2 linked regions of the Danio rerio genome follow. The protein of the gene in region 1 interacts with the protein of each later gene in a biochemical or structural test. Links are inferred from orthologs where the notes say so. Each region holds a gene or a part of one and is shown in the gene's direction. Other genes may lie near its edges.

The links.
Region 2: the proteins of ube2g1a (region 1) and amfrb form a complex in vitro, tested with the Homo sapiens proteins (7 studies listed by BioGRID, with this or other methods). The link is inferred for Danio rerio from reciprocal best matches to the Homo sapiens genes UBE2G1 and AMFR.

What each region holds. Positions count from the first base shown.
Region 1 is NC_133180.1:31,603,176-31,607,647, forward strand, and holds the start of ube2g1a (ubiquitin-conjugating enzyme E2 G1a), read left to right. Parts: upstream 1-1,487; 5' UTR 1,488-1,605; coding exon 1,606-1,651; exon of another isoform or gene 1,652-2,177; intron 2,178-2,249; exon of another isoform or gene 2,250-4,472. UniProt on the Homo sapiens protein: Accepts ubiquitin from the E1 complex and catalyzes its covalent attachment to other proteins. In vitro catalyzes 'Lys-48'-, as well as 'Lys-63'-linked polyubiquitination. May be involved in degradation of muscle-specific proteins.
Region 2 is NC_133182.1:35,375,343-35,379,073, forward strand, and holds the end of amfrb (E3 ubiquitin-protein ligase AMFR-like), read left to right. Parts: intron 1-23; coding exon 24-157; intron 158-692; coding exon 693-803; exon of another isoform or gene 804-871; intron 872-986; coding exon 987-1,165; intron 1,166-1,466; coding exon 1,467-1,558; intron 1,559-2,186; coding exon 2,187-2,234; 3' UTR 2,235-2,843; downstream 2,844-3,731. Other genes in the region: dpep2 (dipeptidase 3), read left to right, coding at 2,844-3,151. UniProt on the Homo sapiens protein: E3 ubiquitin-protein ligase that mediates the polyubiquitination of lysine and cysteine residues on target proteins, such as CD3D, CYP3A4, CFTR, INSIG1, SOAT2/ACAT2 and APOB for proteasomal degradation.

The sequences.
Region 1 (4,472 bases):
CTAAAACCACTGACCTGTCATCATGTCTTTCGTGTATTTCAAATAATGATTAAATGTTTTGCATGTGTGTTGTTGCATGCACTATAAATTATTATTTGATGTGGGTTGCCATAATAACAAAGTTTATGGATTTTGATTAAATAAACAAGAAGTTAGACACATAATAAACTGAAATTAAATTAGAGTCACTATTCAGAACATAATATCATTTGCAAGCCATTTATATTTAGTTGAAAGTTGTTGTCATTGAAAGTACAGCGGTATTCAACCACAGTAAAGACTAAATAAGACAAAAAAAATCATGTTTAAGGTCTTTATTGTGCAGTTTCTCTGACAAGATGTACACTGCAGGTCAGATATTTGGGGATATTATGATTTGTCAGGGTTTTTGAAAGTCTTTGCTGTTCATTGATAATGTAATTGATGTAAAATGTAAGAAATTGTATTTATTTCTGTAATTCGAAACATTGTCACTCCAGTCTTCTTGAATTATTTTGGTCTTCAATCATTACTACTGGTTCTCATTTTATCAGTTCAGAACTAAATGTTTCTGCTAATTTTAGTGGATATTTTAACTTAAAAAAAAAACACACACACATACACACACACACACACACACACACACACAATTGAACTGAAGTATAATGTTTTGAAACCTAAATATATTTACTGTCACATGTAATTAATTTAATGTATCTGTGAAAATGATTTGAATTGTGCTCTTACTCTTGTACTCTTAATATACGACTGTTTCCATAAAAATAAATGAACATTGATAACAATCAGAAAAAAAATATATTCAGCAGCAAATCAGCCTATCAGATTGATCCCTGAAAGATAATGCAACACTGGAAACAAGTAATAACAGCAGACATTTCTGCATTGACTTTGAATTAGTCAATTGACTTTTGTTTGAAAGTCAAATTGAGAAGTTGTTTTAACTAAAAACTGCATTTCAAAGTTTTTATTTTTATTTTACTTTTGTCCTGATGAGCAAAAGAGACGTCTTTCGAAAAAAAATGTTTTCAAATAAAATGTTTTTATCACGCTAGTAAGAAATACACAACCAAGACGTTAAAGTGTCATGAACGGTTATGAGAGCTGTGTGTAAGTGGATGATTCTCATAAGGATCGCCTCTATCACACATTTTGACTTTTATTATTACGCTGTACTGTCTCCTAGTGGTTGAATGACACTGTACTGTCCTCAACAATCAATTTTCTCTAATAAAAATGGCACTTGCGAAAAGAAAAAGCAATAATAAATGTATGATTACAGATTTTCGCTATAACGAGACAATTGATTAGACTCACCTACAACGTCACTAAAGTGATAACATAATTAATCTCGCAGTCAATGCCATCGCCGTTTGTTAAAAAACAAGCATATTTGTTTCTGACATGCGCGAATCCTCCGCCCATAAGTACCCTGGAGCACACTCTCGCCGCGGCCTCGCGGAGAGCAGAGCGCATGCGCATACCGCATCAGAATGTTGAGCAAAACGGACTAGAACAGAGACGGGAAGACGCGCAAGCAAATTCAAACATATTTTTTCTCCTTGTCGAGGTGAACGTCTGTCGACCTAGAATATAACTTATAAAAACATGACGGAGCCCCAGTCAGCACTGTTACTCAGGAGACAGCTAGCAGGTAATATTTGAAGGCTGTTGGCGAAGGCAGGCTAACAAACCGGTGAACGTTTTAGCCAGCCAGTACACCCGAGACGGAGCATTTTAGCCGTTAGCCGCTAGTTTAGCCGCTAACAAGCGCTGTGTTTATCATACAGCATTAGTTAGCATGTTAGCAGCTAAAATAGCCGGCTAAAGGCAAGCCCCGTCGTCTTTTGTTATTTTAAAATGCTAGTTTTGTACTACTCTTGCTAAAATATCAACATGAGAGTTTTTCTAACATAATTAAAACAACAATACGCGCACGTTTGTTTAGTGTTATTCGGTTTATTCATGTCAACATAAGTGTCAGTCACTTTTTTCCGTATCACACCGGCGGGGCCGCTCTCGATCGGCTACCCCCGTGTTTTGACATCTGTGTCCGGACGCAGTTTCCGCAAGAGAACCAGTCATCTTATAAATGGAGGAAAAGTCTGTCATTGGTCCAATTTCTGCTCACTGTCTTATCGTTGTCCGTCAAACCAATAGTATTATCGCACGGTTTAAAGGTGAGATTTATAAGCCGTATATTGTGTGCCATTACCCCGCATCGGGTTGATCAAATCCCTTTGTTTTTCTAGGCTGGCTAGCAGGCTAAAGCTAACAAATTGATGGCTGCTGTTTGATCACCAGCTCACCGGTACAGCGAGAACTGGAGACCCATAGTCTCTGTCACCATAGACCTGTGCGGGAAATTGGCTCTTATTAGAGTCGTTATGAGTGTTTCCTATTGTTCTATGCCCAGCACACACACACTGAGCAATATGATCCGCGAGTGTCAGCTTTACTGAGCTCAACCAGAGGAGGATTTCTCCACTGGGCCCCATTTGCGCAGTGCAGCCAGTGAAGTGAGTTAGTTATAGGGGTCAAACTAGGCAGATTACCTGAGTTTGGGGGTCTGATGAGATCAATTAAAAAGCAAAACAACAGATCTGCTACATGACAGCTGTCTCTTTGCCACAGACAGCTCAAGCAACCCCATCCCCCCAAATTACTCATCTTACACACACATAAAAGCAACTCGCTTGTTTCTTTCCAAGGGTCGCAGGGTGAGCGGCACCCCGGGCCTGTCATGGCGTCAGGTTCTGCAGAGGCCCTGCGCTTGATTGACTGATTCAGGGGGTCAGGGGCTGTTTTGGTTGTCTCCTTTCAGAAGAACCAGCATGGTGAACTCATCAGCCTTGATCTAAACTCAGTGAACCCTTCGTGAGAACAAAAGCCTCACAACGTTCATTAATGTTGGCCCGTAAAAGATACGGGCCAGGAAAATGCGGGCACAACTTGTGTGATGTTAATGCCATGTGTAGAGAGGTTTTTTTTAGAAATCACTCAAAAATTACCTTTAATTTTTTACCCACCCCAAGCTATTAAACATGTTTTGAGACTTTAAGTTGAAAAAAAATTAAGGTTTTGGGTAAAAACATTGCAGCGTCTACTAGAGCCGTGTGATTAATCGAAATCTAATTGCAGTCACCATTTGAAATGTTGCGATTAGCTAATCACAAGAGGCTGTAATATGAAGATATATTTGTATATTTTTAATTCATTTATTTCCCGTCCAGAGCAAACGCGTGACTGCGTTTTTGTGACAGTCTTACTAGACAAATTAGTGAGCACAATTGAGTGATGAGTGTCTTGCTAAAAAGTCAATTGAAAGTATTGCCAGGGACACTCAATTTAGTAGCAAGCAACAGCATAGTACAACTGCAGAGTTGTTTCAGACATGTTAGTTTGCTGAGTGTTTTTTTTTTATTATTTATTATTATTGTTTGTATAGTACGCTACACTATCTCGCTAACTTAAGTTGAACTTGTTTACAGAAAGTTAAGGTCATTTGATTTACTGTTCTATCTTTGCATACTGTTTCATCTTTTTGTTTACTTTTTGTCCTGGGAGAGAGGTTGGCTTTTCTAGAGAAAAATTTGTGTTTAATTTCTAAATATTTAAAAATAAATTTGATTAAGTAAGTTAATATCTTTTCTGTTTCTTTTTTTTTTTTTAAATAACGCTCACTGCATTTTTCCTGAAAATTTAATACAACTACCAAATGGTTTAGTTGAACCCTGTTCACTAGCATTAGATGAAGAGTTGTTTCCTTTTCCCCAAAACCTTGGCTGAAGAAAGTCAGTCATACACTGGTTGAATGGACTGCAGGATAGTAAATAAATTATGTATTTTTTTGCCTTCAGATAATGTTCTGTTATTAAAAGCACTACTGTTATGTCACTTTATGCGCATGCTTTTGTAACTTGTGGGTTTTCTTTGCCTGTCAAGCTTTTTAACATACATTGACAGGAAATTCTCTGAAAGTGATTCCAATGATATTGTATATCTGTGGTGTTATTGTTAAATCTGCTGTGTGGACATCTCTCTTCTAATTGAATTTGAAGGGTTGGTAAACCTTTCTAGTAGTGGCTGTCATCCATTCTTGGTTTGAACAGCCCTTTATGCTATTTGTGTGATTGTTGCTTAGGGCTGGTCGATATGGCAAAACTGCAATCTTGATAATTATTTTGCATATTGAATGATAACGATGTATATTGCGATACCAGTTGTTAATGCTTCCAGATTTAAAAGAGTATTCCAGCAATGACTGAAGCCACAAAAATTAGAGGGTCTATTAAATGGCATAGCATATTTTCAGCCGATACTTTTTCAGTGGCAGAAAATTTTGGGACATCTCTAACATCAACACACTTTTAGATTCTCGTTGTTGCACATTTCTGTTGTGTGATTGGCTCTTAGATCAATATAGAGTAAAAAGTCCAAAGCTTATCATTGTTATTGACACAAACTTCATCGCA
Region 2 (3,731 bases), on another chromosome or scaffold:
TTGCCTGTGTTTTTCTTTTTCAGCTATATGGGAACGTTTGGTTCTCAGTGGCTGATTTATTTATACTGACACACATACGATTCTTGGCAAAAGAAATGCAGCGCAAATTATTTCAACACAAGAACTACATGCACATATATGATGTTATGGACACAAGGTATGTTTTACTGCTAAGCTTTTTTATATATCTCTTTTTGCAATATCAAAATAAATACTAAGACAGTCTGAGAGTGTGTGTGTGTGTGTGTTGGGGGGGGGGGGTGGACATGGAGGGCATTCAGAAGAGAGAAATGTCAAATTTAATGTCAATCACATGCAATTTTGCTGCCGTGTTTTTTATATAGGTAGTACTAAAGTGTATATCACTGCAAAGTACCAACACAAACTTGTACTGTTGTAAATGTAAATTAATTCATTAATATATGAATATAACAAATATTAGAAAACATTGTCTTTTTCACATTGTTAATTAATGTTTCTTCAAAGTCTTTGAAAGGAGTTGATTAATATTTAATGGTAAACATGAATTTCCTGAAATGTCAGTGTAAGTTTCGCCCCTTTATTATTGTGCTGTATGTTAATTTATTTGTATGTGTAAATAAGATAACTGCTATGCACTGTGTTTTGGTAATTTGCAGTATTAAAATGGGAAAAGACAAGCTTATAAATCATAAAGTCTTTTCTTTTGGCAGGTTTTCAATGGCTACAATGGAAGAGCTGGCATCTCGTGATGACAGATGTGTTATTTGCTGGGAAAAGATGTACACAGCATACAAATTACCCTGTGGCCATCTATTTCACAAGTATGAAACAGATCATGTGTTTACTTTGTTCCAATAAATGACTTTACCACCCTAGGGAATGACATTAGGTAAATGCGAGTTCATTTGAATGGGTCGTGTATTCATTGTTTCTGTGGAACAGTCATTGTTCTTTTGCTAATTAAGACTATACGACTATAGTGAACATGTTTTGTTGTTTCCCAGGTCATGTCTGCGTTCCTGGCTTGAGCAGAATATGTCATGTCCTACATGTAGGATGTCTGTAAATATGAGTGGCGGTCATACTGGAAATGAGCAGGAGGGGGCATTGTTCAGTTTGGGAGCAACTGATGTGCCTAGCAGACCTCCAACCAGATACCACAGTCAACTTTTTCATTTTAATGGTAAAATTAATAAATACTTTTAAAACTAGTCAATGCATTTATAAAATATGCTCTATAATGAAATTCCACTTTACACACCATTCAAACTATGTATTCCTTTGACTTAATGCTGTATATTTATGTACTTTACAGGCTCGTTTTCTATGTTTTTTTAAGAGATCATTGCTTTAAAGGGGAATTGTACACTTTTTTTCTACAGTCACTCTTTTAGCAATCTTCAAAATAGTGTTTGGGTATCTATTGGAAAATGTCTTACCTTTTGTACAGTAGTTAAACTTTTTAAACTTGTTAAATTTTTCAGGTTCTCAAATTTCAAACTGGCTGCCTGGCTTTTCAGTTGAAGTTTTGCACTCTCCTAATTTAATTATTCTACTACAGGCAGACGACTCTCGGGTAAATGTTGCTATGTACAATGTCATAATGAATTTATTAATATTGAAATTATTGTGTATTGTATTTATGATGTACACTAGAGGTCAAAAGTTTGGAGTCAGTTTTTTCATGTTTTTTTTATTATTATGATCATTAAGGTGGCATTTATTAAATGTAAAAAAAATGTTAAATTGTTAAATATTTATTTAATAAATATTTATTTATTACTTATTTTATGTAGTTTCAAATGAAATTATTACTCTAGCCATTATTGCTTTTATTGTTATTAGTATTTAATAATAATCTTATTGTTAATAATAATAACAATAACAATTAATATTAGAAATGTTAATTATTATCAGAGATAACTCTGAACACTGGAGTAATGACGCTAAAAGTCATCTTTAAAATCATTGGAATAAATTATTAAATTAAATGATAAACTACTTTTGAACAGTTATTTTATAGTGCATTAACATTTCACAATTTTACAATTTGTACTGTAACTTTGATGACATAAATGCAGCCTTGGTGAGCAGGAGAAGGTTTTTTTTTTTAAACATTTAAAAATCCAAATGAGCCCAAATGTTTGACCGATATTGTGTATATACTGTTTTTGTCTAATCATCATCTGTTTACTGATTTTCAGGGACATCAGGATGAAGAAATTGTACCTGGGTTAGACCTAACTGAGTAGTAAATTCTATAGCTTTGGGAAAAATGAGAAAAATGTGCCACTGACCACATTTCGGGAGGATTCTCCTGAAGAGCTCAACACAAGATTTACCTGAAGTTTTCAGCTGAGCAGGTTTAAAAAGAGTAAATCTTTCAGCTCAAGTGGCTGGATGACATACATTGAAAGGAAGTGTGTGACTGTACAGGGTGGATGTGCTTTGGCCAAGTAGGATGTAATTTTGGATTAACATCATGCTTGGAAAATCACACAAATTGAGTAGCGTATGACACAAATGTAGAAATGTACACTAGACGTAACAAGACCGGCATATTTTGAACACTGATTGGAATATTCTACCTATCCATTTATTTCTTGATAACACTGTCAAAATCAAGTTCAAGGTTCAAAATACTACTGTAAGTAAAGAACTCACTGTTTAATGTAGTTTTATATAAAGATCTCAGTCTAAACAGTTTGTTAAAATACTTTCCATTTTAAGTGTTTAAACAAAAATGTGAAATGTTTAGCAATATTTGAACATGTTTTTTTTTTTTTTCATGGACTAAAATGTAATTGTGACAAATAAGAATAATCATAAATAAAAAGCTCTTTTTAAATATTTTTGAGAATATGTGGATCCCATACAAACCTCCAAAGACTTCCTTTTTATCAGGCCCTTCTTTTATTTTTGTCTTCACTAAGTACATACTCAATCTTGTTGACATCACTAAGTCAGAATATGAAAAAAGTCTGTGCCTTAAAAAGGTGCAGTCCAGTCAATCGCAGTCAACAGAAGGGGGCGACGTTTCTCCGAGAGCATTTAAACTAAGACATAATGCTTGTAAAACACATTGGCATCTTAAATTTCCGCACAGAAAAACAGAATGTGAACCTCTTCACGTCCATGAGTACATTACACCAGTCTTCTTCCAGACACGGTAAGTTACAGCTGTACTTATAATATATTTTACAAGACGTTTCAGACGTTTTTGTTATGTTTGACATAGCGGAGTGTGAGAGGTTGGGACGACTTTATATCGTTACTCATCCAGCTTATGGTGGGTTACATTTTGTAAAGACAGTATGTACTATAAATACGAATTTATATTGTGTCTGGTGTTTGAACAAAATATATACTGGATACACGCTCACTCGAAGCACGTGACTTAAATAGTGGAGTAAAATATGTTTTAGAGAGTATGACATTTAAATTAGAGTACTGGGTCTACTCTAACGTTTTTAAGCTCTACATGTTCCATAAATTTCACTTTAAAACATGGAAAAGATACAACAGATATTAGTCTGCATATAAATAAGTGATTTTATATGTGGTCTGTGAGTTTGATGAAAATCTTTTACGGTAAAAATAACAATTACAGCAATAATAATAAACAGAAAGTTTATTTATTTACTTTTTCATTCATTTATTTATTTATTATTATTTTTTCTCTCTCTAACTTTTGTTACAGAAAAAATCATACTTTTGAAAACAGCACTTATGACAACATGAATCCTTAA